Arabidopsis thaliana: one gene and its partner. The protein of the gene in region 2 interacts with the protein of the main gene of each other region in a pairwise test. Each region holds a gene or a part of one and is shown on either strand. Other genes may lie near its edges. The genes, in order: PFA-DSP1 and PLDALPHA1.

Region 1 (5,726 bases), on a different chromosome or scaffold from region 2:
TTCTTTACCCATATATCTTGATGCCTAATAATACCACAACCAAGAGCACATAATATGTAAGAAACCACAAATTGGTACATAGGTTGAAGATCAGGATTTAGAAGAAATAAAAAAAACTCGCGTTTTTGAGAAAATCGATCCGAATCTCGAAGATTCTTATGAGCCCTCTGGTGTACAATTGTTTCTCATGTTGCTGCAAAGACGCTTTGACCCGAATAAGCAGAGTTTGGCTAGCCTCGGGTGACCATAAGGTTGCATAGGAACGGAACAAAGAACTCTTGTAGCCGCAAGCAAGAATGCGCTTTGCATGTTGTTGAAGAATCGGTGTCATGCTTTTTATTAAAGTAAATGATTAACAACACTCCAGTAGAGTGTTTCGTATTCGTGACCTATAAGGACAACTATCACTCACTTATAGCTAAAAATTGGTACTGGCCTTAGTTAGGTTTCATATTCGTGACTTAACAAACTCTTCACACATCTAGCATGTCTTTTTCAACTAATAAAAATAATGATTAATTCCGTAACTGATTCAAAAAAGAAGTTATAGAGTTATGTTAATGATTGGTCAGTAAATCAAATTAGTCCATATATTTCGGTTTAGCATTACATTGAACAAATTATTTACACACTGATGGTAGTAGCATTTTCCTCTACACACGATAATAACAAATCATGTTCTGAAGAATTGAAATATATGAGCTAATAATCGTTAAGCAACATTCGGGATAACCCAAGAAAATACATATATTCCTAAACAAACTCCTGTATAGTTTACTTTATATATATACGTAATTATCTACCTTTATGCTTACACTGAGCAGTAAAAAAACAGAGTGAAGTCATTATAACAACGAAAACCTTTTCTTTTCTCGAAATAGTATTATTGATTCCAGAGAAAGGTAAAGAAAGAGAAGAATGTTTCCTCTGGAACTCTAATATGATTAATCTCTCCTTTTTATCTGAAGATTTTAGCTTCCCCTGTTTACCTGATGGAACAAGAGAATGACATTGGAATATGACTGAAGCTGGAAACATCGAATATCTCCATGAATCTTTGATCTGAAACTCTAGCTTTCGCTGCTGCAAATCGTTGGTACTCGTCGAATATCGATGTCAAACACCATTTCTGGAGCTTCCTCAAGCAACCAACAAGACAACCGGTCCGATGCTGCAAATTCCAGATTCATACTTAGAAACTCATTTTCTTCTTCAGTGGTGGAGACAAAAGATGAAATGTTTAGGATTGGAGTGAATGATTTACCTTGCCTCGCTTACAATGAATCAGAACAGGATGGTTTTTCTCATCTGAGGATTTTAAAAGGAGAGTTGTTAATAAACCAAGTTAGAATTAGAAAGCATACAAAAAGTGTGGTTACATGTGTTCTTTTATTTCAGCGCTTCTATATGATTCATAGTTACCTAGAAGCACTTTCAGTGCCATGCGGATTTTATGGTCTGGAATATTCACAAATGGCTCCTGAAAATAAGAAGAAAAAATGTCTTTTTAAAATTGTAAGATTATATGTCAAAAGATCAATCACACTACTAAATTGAGCAGATTAGGAAAAGATAAAGCAATCTAATAATCAAGGTTCATGCACAAGCAACGTCGAGAGAGACAACCATGCAAAGGTTCATTAACAGGACAAAGTCTACAAGTTATGAAGCATGTCTAATGTGATACCTTTTACTGGTTGCGTACTGAGAGAAAGATTCTTTACTTTTTTATATCAAAAAGTTATCTCCACACACAACAACAACAACACGGAATAAACACAAAGTCCCATTGAAAGACGAATCTATGAGAAGAAAAAAGCATAGCAAGCCAAGAATATCAGCGATAAAGGTTTCCTATCAAGATCGAAGTTGTCACACTAATTATAAAGAATCTGAGTCCAGAAACAAAAACAAAAGTCAATGAGATCCAGATTCTTCCAATAAAATCACTACACCAAGAAGAGAAAGCCACTTTATTTTCATCTTTAGTGTAAAAGCAAAACTAGGGAACTATGGTAGTAAGTATCTAAACGACTCCCCACATAAAGAATCGACTATCCTAGGAGTAGAATCGACAGGGAAAAGGTGGATTCTGTGGGGGGAGAGAATGATAGCTACTGCATACCAGAACAAACATATTTTCTTTCAAACATATCAACTCAAATTAGATTCATACCCATCTCTTCAGGAAAGGCGAATGGTAACTCATGAGGGTAATAAGTTCAAGACTCTATGGTGAAGTTTTTGGTTATTCTATCACTTTACCAACGATTTGCCCAAACATGAGCCACTAACACATAGAAAAGGAAAGGAACTAAAGGTACGTATTAAACAACATTAACCGACTTACAACGTAACCATCTATCATTTTCCCAGCAATTCCTAACCTTATCTAGATTTCAAACCTTACAGCTAATATGGACACTTTCACGATCAACACGCTTTCTACAAGTTTTTACCATAAAAAACGGTTTACTTGTACACAATCAAAAACACTTTCGCTGATGTATGATTTCATAAGATATCATATCTGTATAAAAAAGTGCACACTCAATAAACATGAACCAAGAAAACAATAACAACAGAAAGTAAGCTATTGAGTAGTGGGATCATTGACAACACTAGCAACAAGTAGCTCAGCAAATATTTTGACGTAGTCCATAATCTAATTTTATAAATAGAGAGTAGAAAGAACAAGTGGGGAATAGTTGCTGAAGGGGCAGAAAAACAAAGAGTGGGACCAAATCAGTGGAGGTCAAGAGAGACGGAAAGAGCCAAAGAGGCAAAACAATAAAGAAAGATGTGTTCTTTTTCTGGTAAACTCATAATAATAAAATATGGCTTGGAACAGAGTGCCCATGAAGGATCAAATTCAAGAGAAAGAAAACACAGAAACAGTTTTAGTAGTCTAAAGTAAACAACAATGAGACAGGATTTTCAAGAACAATTAGGCAATAAATATCAAGCAAATAAAACCCTTCAAATTGAATGAACTATGATATATTCCAGAAATAGTATCGTGTTCCAGTTAATATATGTAGTGTGTACCAAAGTTTTCGAAAGTCCATTAGTTAAGGGACCCTGTTTCTGATGCTTAGAATTCCATAAATGCAAGGAAATCTCGTTGTCTAAGTCAGGAACACACTGCAGCAAGATATGATTTTTCCATTCAGAGAATTCTCCTAGTGAACTATCCAAGTAAGGTTTAGAATTACAGAGCAATTAAAAACGGAGACTTGATGAAGAGAGAGGAGAAGAAAGATGGTTACCTTGTTGCCTTCAATACCAAACTGGAAAAGCCTGATTCCATTGGATTTAAGGAACTGGAGATTGCTCTCTGGGTAGGGCTCCGGGCACAAGTATCTTCACAAATTCGAAAAAACCTAAAATCAGCAATTTCGAAAGTTTGATATATAGTATACAAAATGTCATGAATGTGGAAGGAGCTTTTACATGATTGAGCGGAGACCGAGAGTCTGGAGAAAGGAGAAGTTAGCTGAATCAGGGAATCCAGACCGGAATATACCGTTATCGACCATGGAGAAGTTGAGCGGCGGAATTAGGTGAAGTTCTTCGCCGGAGACAACTCGAAAGGGATCAGCTTCACCGCCCGGAGCCTGAAACACGTTTCTGTTAACCTCGGAAACCTCGATGATGGTGCGGCAGAAATCTTCTCCATTGTCCTGCTCTGTAGTAGTCGTCTTCTCCACAAGCTTCATCTCTGAATTGGGAAACAGAGAAAAGGTTGAATCTTTAGGTGAGGAGAGTCGAGTAATGGAGATGGTCGTTACGTAGCGTCGACCTTGGGGAGGTTTATATGGAGAGAGACTTGTGACTCTGTTCAAAATTCAACAGACGAAAAAGAACGCAAAGGAGATGGACCCAGCAAGGACTCCTTTTTTATTTTTATTTTTTGTTTGTCAATAGCTGTTTATTTGTTTATTTTTAAAGAATTTGTGACATTTATCTTAAAAGCTTTTTTGTTTATAATCTGTTAAGTGTTTTTACTTTTTAGATACCTTTTAGCATATGTGAAAATAGTTGATTGGATCTACAATTTCATACTGAAATCCGTAATCTGTAAAAAAAAAAAGCTTAGAAAAAAATAAGTTGCCACTACACAAAAGAATCCAATATTAGAATAAACAGTTTAATATTTTATATTTACTCAAGTTGAGCTGAAAACAGCAACATACGGAAACTATATAATAATTAACAATACACGAATTTTGTAACGGTCTATCTTAGTTGTACATGCTACTACCATTTTTATCAACGGTTGATAATAACAATAATAATAGTATGATGGTCTAATTTGAGGAAATAACTGTTATAACATTTTCAAGGATTATTAAAGTAAACAAAATAAAATGACTTTGCAGTTTTGCAAAACAAACGAAAAAAATGATATTACATAAATTGTTCTTGTTAATAGGAAAGCACTTGTTGAAGCTTAAATTGGCATCATTGTGGAATCTTTTTGCTCACACACAATCATCTTATTCGGGTAAATCACTCTCATTGAATAAATTATCAACCGAACCTAAAATCATTTTTTGACTATATATTTTCACCAATATTATAATATTTAATATTTTGAATTTGAAGTTTCTGACCTATATTTACCTTGAAAAAGTCACTTATTCACAATATACAAAAATATTGACTACTACATACTAACATACATATATATCATCATTCCAGGAAATAGCGAAAATATAGATTCCAAGCGAAACACAGAGAAATAAAAAGAGAGAGAGAGATTCCAAAGGACAAAGAGCAATTACTCTGCTAAGTGGGAAGAACAATCACTAATCTGAGTCATCTGGCATTCATAAACGCACCTTTATTTAAGTTCTATGGGATCGTAATCTGAGTACATTAATTACTTCTATGTTCCTTTCACATTTTGTTTTGTTAAACAATTTCATAATATTGTTTTGAAATGTATAATTTTAGCCAATATTCGGTTTTAATATTTGTTACTGCCTTTTTTTTTTTTTTTTCCACCAATTTGTTACTGCCTTGAAATAACTATTTAATTGTGTGAAAATAAAATTCGGTCCAAACTATCTACTGTAGTTGCCATTTCTGTCATACATGATACTACATAATAACACGGACGCCGTGTTTTACCTTTTTTTTGGGGTCAAATTTCGTATAAAGAAAAATGGAGACGAATGTTTTTCTTCGGTGCATAATCGCACCATTTAAATATATGTCTATTACATAATCAAAACGAAATAATGCAAAAAGAACCACATCACGACAATACATTATTAGAATCCACGTCACATATTTGTCTTCCACATAACACTCACACCAGAAAACTACTCTTTTCTAATTAAAAAAAAACAGATGATAACTAAGCTAAAGACATAAAATTTGTAATGTTTAGTGTCCCACACTGGACTTTAATTGGATAAATTACTCCATAAAAACAAAATGCACCAGATAGTTTTTTTATAAGAAAAACAAAAAAGGTACATTCCAGGGAATATACCTTATGATTCTCAAGGATTATTGCGCCGCGAGCACTCGGCCACGTACGAAAGCGTTTTGGATGCCGTTAAAGAACTTTCCGTAAAAAGAACGTACGAAAATATCATAATGCCTTCAATTTATCTTTCGAGAATTTGTTCTAATTTGTTCTAATTTTCCAAAACATTGAAATTTTCTCACGGAATATAAAACATTAATATATGAATTAATGTTTTTCCAAAGCA
Region 2 (5,978 bases):
TTTCTATGTAAACGATAACGTAGACAACGTGATCGATGTCAAGCGGATCTACAACGACTACGACGGAGAACTACGAAAGAGCCAAAAATTGTTTTTCGATTTCAAAGTGCATTACACTCGTGCCGAAGAAGAAGATGATGACGTTGAAGAAGAAGAAGATTTTCCCGATTTTGACAATCTTCAAACTCTAACCCTTGAGCAAACACACGAGTTTGATCGAGATTGGTTGTTTGGTGGAGACGGTGATCATTCACTAGCCATCGTCTATCACATTCTAGATTCGCTCCAAGTCCCTCCTTATTCTGCTATTGTTAACACTCTTGCTGATGAGATTAAGGATTTGAAGAAAGATGGTGCGAAAGACGTGGAGAGGGTACAAGTAAAGATAGGTGTTACTGTCTCGAGGTTTCCCGGTGAAGATGATCACGTAGATGTGCAAGTGCAACTTGCGGTTGCTCCAGCGAACGATGAGGCGGTGGAGATGCACTTGGAGACGCTTGTTGTTGAGAATGAAGGCTATTGTGTGATATGCATGGATAATATCCGAGTTGGGTCAGATGTGGAAGCGGGTCGAATGCCGTGTTCGCATGTGTTTCATCGTACTTGTGGAGAGGAATGGCTTAGGAACAGTGGGATTTGTCCGGTGTGTCGTGCCCTGTTTCCGGCTTAAAACTTTAAAACCCCTTTTGTATTAGTTTTGTGCTATATGAACCCTAGTTTCATGCTTTATCTCTAGATTGTCACTTTCACTTTTCTAATGAAGTATGTTTTACCTAGTTCATTGCTATTTTTGTTTAAACTTTGATGTGAAACACACTAAATAAAAAGAAAAGGATCAGATATAAGATTCATAAGTCCAAAGGTACATAACAACAACAAAACAAGATCACAAAGCTACATTCTCTCACCACGTCATTGTACGAATATAAAAACCAAAGGGGTAAAGAAGTGCATCATCATAACAACCATTTGACTTCTTAATTCTAAAGGTAGACACTCAAGTTTTATTCAAAGCTACAACAGCAGCAAAGCAGAGAGGGAGAGAGAGATCATTACTTGACATGCTTAGTGAGATTAGGTTGTAAGGATTGGAGGCAGGTAGTCTGATTTGGTGCCGAGGATACGGGCCTTTGTGTCCGGGAAGAATTCAAATCCTGGAAGCTCAGTGATGTCGCCTTCGCTGGCTACACCGATCGGGTAGCGGAGCAAGTGACCAGGAAGGTCATGTTCGAGTGACTCACTTGAGTAAAAGTCCCAATACTTGTCAGAAATGCGGTTAACTTTCTCAATGCATTCCAAGCTTGATGGATCGAGGAAGGTTTCATCGAGCATTCCCAGGTGTTCGTACCAGAGTGACATACGAAACCCATGGATCTGGCCACGAGCTGGTTGTCTATGGGACAAGTGATGTGGTTGATAACCTCCCATTGCTATCTCAGAGTCTCTTGCACCGTCCATTGACCTCTGGTTGATGTTAGCAGACCCAATGATAATGTATTCATCGTCAACTGCAAAATGGATTTCATCAAATGAATCAGGCACAACATTTATGTATACTTCTCAAGTTTTTTTCCGTTGAAATGTGAACTTACCGATCATCATTTTGGTGTGGACGTAAATCATGAAACGGCGTGCTTCTTGCGCCCTCATGTAATCAGTGTCGGGGTCTGGTTTCTCAGCAGGCTCATACTCTCCATCTTTCTTGACCTCACGGTTTCCAAGACAGAAGAATGTCAGATAGTTTCTTGGATCTTCCTCAAGACCCTGGGCCCTGAGAGCCTGAATCACATCCTTGTACATCATCTCCATGGTCCTCCTCTGCCAGTCTAATATAGCTTGCACTGATCCACTCTCTGGGAGACCTTCTGGCCACATTGGAACCACAACATAGACCCTGAACTTCTCTCCTTTCTCAATCTTGCTAACTATCTTCAGCGACAACTCTTTTGGGATTAAGTGCAGGGCATTGATGTCCTCAGGAGTAATACCATCGGCTGCCCAAGCAAAAGAACTCCCAAGGAAGTACTGGTTTTCAACGTAGATGAAATCCTTAGCACGTCTGATTGCATGAATGTAAGCATCTTGGATACTCCTATCAATGATGTTATCTTTCCCACTTACAAGCCCGGCTTCCGCAGCAGCTTCAGGCGACTCGGGAAACCCAGCAGCAGCTCCTCCATCAATGGACCTAAACAATTGGACATTCCACACATCGTGGTCCTCTTGGAACATAACAGGAGAAGGGGTGATAATAATATCACTAAGATCTCTCAACTTAACCAGAATGTCTTTACCACCCTGCTTGCTCCATCTCTGCTCGAAGTTGTACATGACATCCCAAGCAATTGGACCTTCAAGACGGGAGTGAATGTCATGCCAAGGCTCCCTTGGACCACCTTTAGTGATAGCAGCACCAGTGAAGTTAGGTTGATGGAAGTCATCATGGTGGACTGTGTCCAATGTCCTGAACAAGGAGTGGAACGGAGTGTCGTATCTTCCATCACAAAGATCAATACCGCCAACAAAACTCACAATTCTCCTCATTTCTGATCCTCCTCTGCTTGGCATCTCGCTGTCCACAACAACGATTTTCTGATGATGCGTGAACATAGTAGAGATCTGCAAACTTTGGACTATGCTACCACCGTCATCCGGGTTACGAGGGCACAGAATACAATGGACATCACTTCCCCTGAAGAAATTCTCGGTCTCTTCATCATGAGTAGCCATGAGCCCATCTTTCTTCAGCACATCAACAGAAGTTCTGTCATCCCAAACAAGCAAAAGAACCCTGACACCTTCACTAGCCTTCTTCTTGAGTAGCTCACCAATGGTCACATCACCTCCAGGCTTAGGCCTCCTCGAGTCCCTCACTAAAGCAATCTCAGCGTAAACAGACCAACCAGTAATGTAGATCAAGTGTTTTGCATTGCTAATAGCATCAAAAATATCCTCCCAACATCTTTGAGGCTCATAGTTCTTCCCTCCAGCGAGAGGAATTCTAGGGACAAAGTTGTCTGGAATATGAGCATCTTGGTACAGAGAAACTTTGCAGCCTTGTCTCTGCGAGAAGAATGTGTATGGCACTCCAGGGAACTTGGCACTTTTGATACCCATGTTCCAGTTACGATCCTCCTCAACATGGAAATATTGAAGCTTGACATGAATCTTTGATCCTCCCTGAATAGGGTTTCTGTCATTATCCAAGATCTCAACCCACTGATCCACTTCCTCGCCGTTAATGACTTGATCAACAGGAATGTAAGCTCTTCCGATAAGGGTAGCTCCAATGGGATTATCATCTTTAACAGTGAAGATGATATCAGAAGCCAAGTGAGCACAGTAAATATGAAACGACTCATACCACTTTGGGTTCTTAGGTTCATTTTTGATCTTCCTGGTTCTCCCAACTCTAGCTTTTTGCAGATCAATCGTCGCATACAACTGTGTTTCTCCTTTACCAACACCAATCGTCTCTTCTACATTTGCCAGAATCTGAAAGTTTCATCAGAAAAATAAAGATCAAACTGTGTATTAGTCCACAGACTAATTTGAACTACAAAATAAGACGTCAGGATTGGCGCAAAAATGATGCAATAACAATGGATCTTATTATACCTTGCCAAGGAAGCCTTGCCTAACACCACCACCATGGAGGGCATCAACTTCATAGATGGTAGCATGTAAAGTCCCGTGCAACAGATGCTGCGCCATTTTTTCACCTTTAGCAATAAGAATTGACCAGAACACAATATTAGTTTCTGAAAAAACTAAAAAAAAAGAAAAGCGAGATCTACGAATCTCAAAGATCTGGTATCAAAATTTTAGAGCAGCTAAATTTTCGCAGTATTGTCCTAAAAACAAGGAACACTAGTTGAATAGTGAAACTAAAGTCACTGATCTAACTCAAAACTAAAGATCGTATCAGTGTAACACTAGAGGACAATAGCAAATGAACCCGATCGTTGATTATCCAAAAAGAAAAAAAAAAAAGTCAGCGAGTTCCACTTATCTCACAAAACAAAGAACCACCTAAATGATCAAACGAGTTTTAATCGCAAAACAAGTAAAGAGAAACATAAAGATAAAATGAATGAGATTCATAGAGATGAAGTAGAGAAATACTAACTTCGAATTATTCCCAGAAACTGAGATCTGATCGGAGAAACTCAATCGTTCGGTGGTCAGAAGAAGAATTCGGGATCTGGTCCGTGATGGAAGCTCTTTAAGAGCTACTTTGTGGAGCTGCTGTAATTTAATTGGAGCGTGTGGGGCCACTTTTTCATTATTTTCTACAGATCTTTGATGATTTAATAGTGACCCAACGTACGAATTGTTATTAGTTTCAGCCCTACACGTTTTTAGTTTCACAATTAGGCCCTAAATAGTTACTCTCAAGAGATTCCTTTCAATTTATAACTTATAATATATAGTTAATGTTACTAGATAACGATATAATTGTGGTTGGATTATGTTATCTCACATCCTAATAGTAATATTTTACGTTACATCTAAAATTATATAATAGAGTGAAAAAGATAAAATGGAAAGTTTAGTGACTAATTGAAAATCTTGAAAAGTTTTAAGAAGGCCGACATAAAAAAAGGAAATAAATATTCAAAGTTGTAATAAAATCCCTGACTTGAGGATAGGGGAGACAAAAAAAAAAAAGAGATATCCAAATCGTGCGCCCGACGTTCTGCATCCAAACGTTACGACATCGTTTCCCAAGCTGAATCCTCACCGTCCATCACAAGAAAACTATATGGTGTACTTTTCTCAAGTAGTACGTGTTCGCATAATGACATGAATTCACTAGCAATAATTTAATTGCTTCATCATTGGATCTCACACATCTTCGCTATAAGATTGGGTAGTTTTTTTTTTCGTTTTTTTTGGGTAAAGAAGAATGTGATAGTTGTATAAAATATTACTCCTCATAAACGGAACGTGGCCACATGGGGATTATACAATGTATTTGCATTCTCTGGTATCTAATAAGTTCTAATGTACTAACCATCAGCAAAACCGTCAATCATAAAAATGCGGTGAAGAACAGATCAGAGGTGTCTCATATATGGGGATCAAAGGGAAAATTAAGACAGTATTGGCAACTCGGCGTAATGCTAAATTGTAACACAATGGTAGGATACAAGGGAGCTTATTTTGGAGCTTATTCCCCTATCTATGTTTATTATTTAGCAATGCTCACGGCAAGGTTTCTGATACGCAGCCACCGCTCACCGGTGACTTGTCTGAAAAATCTGGACTTAAAATAACCCAATTCCTTTGTTTTGCTTCTATATTAGCTTATTTTAGAAAATAGGACTTTTGAATTTTAGTTGACCCAAGGAAAAAATGAAGAAGGGACGTAGAAACTAGAAATTTAGGTGCTATTGATATTTGAATATGGGCCATAATTGGGCCTGGTGATTTAACATTCTGTACACGTATTTAGGCCTGTATCTTGGAATGATTTTTTTTTTTTGTGGTAGGGTAAAACTTGGAATGAAATTTAGGTGCACCTATTGATATTGTCCGACTGTCTGAACTGAATTTGATAAGTAGTACGTGAATCTTTAACTGTTTAGTAGGAAAAAAAAGAAAAAAAATCAAAAGAATATTACTATAATTAAACTACAATAAGTACATAATTAGTTTTTTTTTTTTTCTTATAAGCAAAAAGAAAAAAGCTAAAATAGAAAACCCAAAAGCGAAGCCGAAGAAAAGAAACTAAAAGCGAATCATGAAAGTCAAAAATAGACAGAAAAGATAAGAACATCTCCATCAGTAGTCTCTAGTATGGTTTTTCACTAACTAAAAAATATAAAATAATAATAAAGTAGGAGAGAGAGAAAAGTAAATAATAGGTTACATTTTAATAGGTTAAATTATTATTTTCAGAATAATTATTTAAGTAAATAATAATATTATATGATAATAATTAAAAAACAATATTTTAAGATAATCCACCTAAT

What was found.
Region 1: the proteins of PLDALPHA1 (region 2) and PFA-DSP1 interact in a two-hybrid assay, tested with the Arabidopsis thaliana proteins (one large-scale study listed by BioGRID).

Annotation. Positions count from the first base shown.
Region 1 is NC_003070.9:1,423,653-1,429,378, reverse strand, and holds PFA-DSP1 (Phosphotyrosine protein phosphatases superfamily protein), read right to left. Parts: upstream 3,841-5,726; 5' UTR 3,720-3,840; coding exon 3,454-3,719; intron 3,364-3,453; coding exon 3,270-3,363; intron 3,145-3,269; coding exon 3,049-3,144; coding exon of another isoform or gene 2,980-3,048; exon of another isoform or gene 1,481-2,979; coding exon 1,423-1,480; intron 1,309-1,422; coding exon 1,265-1,308; intron 1,172-1,264; coding exon 986-1,171; 3' UTR 510-985; downstream 1-509. Other genes in the region: AT1G05005 (PPR containing protein), read right to left, coding at 118-331. UniProt on the Arabidopsis thaliana protein: Cleaves the beta-phosphate at the 5-position of soluble inositol pyrophosphates.
Region 2 is NC_003074.8:5,328,571-5,334,548, reverse strand, and holds PLDALPHA1 (phospholipase D alpha 1), read right to left. Parts: upstream 4,356-5,978; 5' UTR 4,130-4,355; intron 3,723-4,129; 5' UTR 3,715-3,722; coding exon 3,619-3,714; intron 3,496-3,618; coding exon 1,593-3,495; intron 1,509-1,592; coding exon 1,075-1,508; 3' UTR 804-1,074; downstream 1-803. Other genes in the region: AT3G15740 (RING/U-box superfamily protein), read left to right, coding at 1-670. UniProt on the Arabidopsis thaliana protein: Hydrolyzes glycerol-phospholipids at the terminal phosphodiesteric bond to generate phosphatidic acids (PA).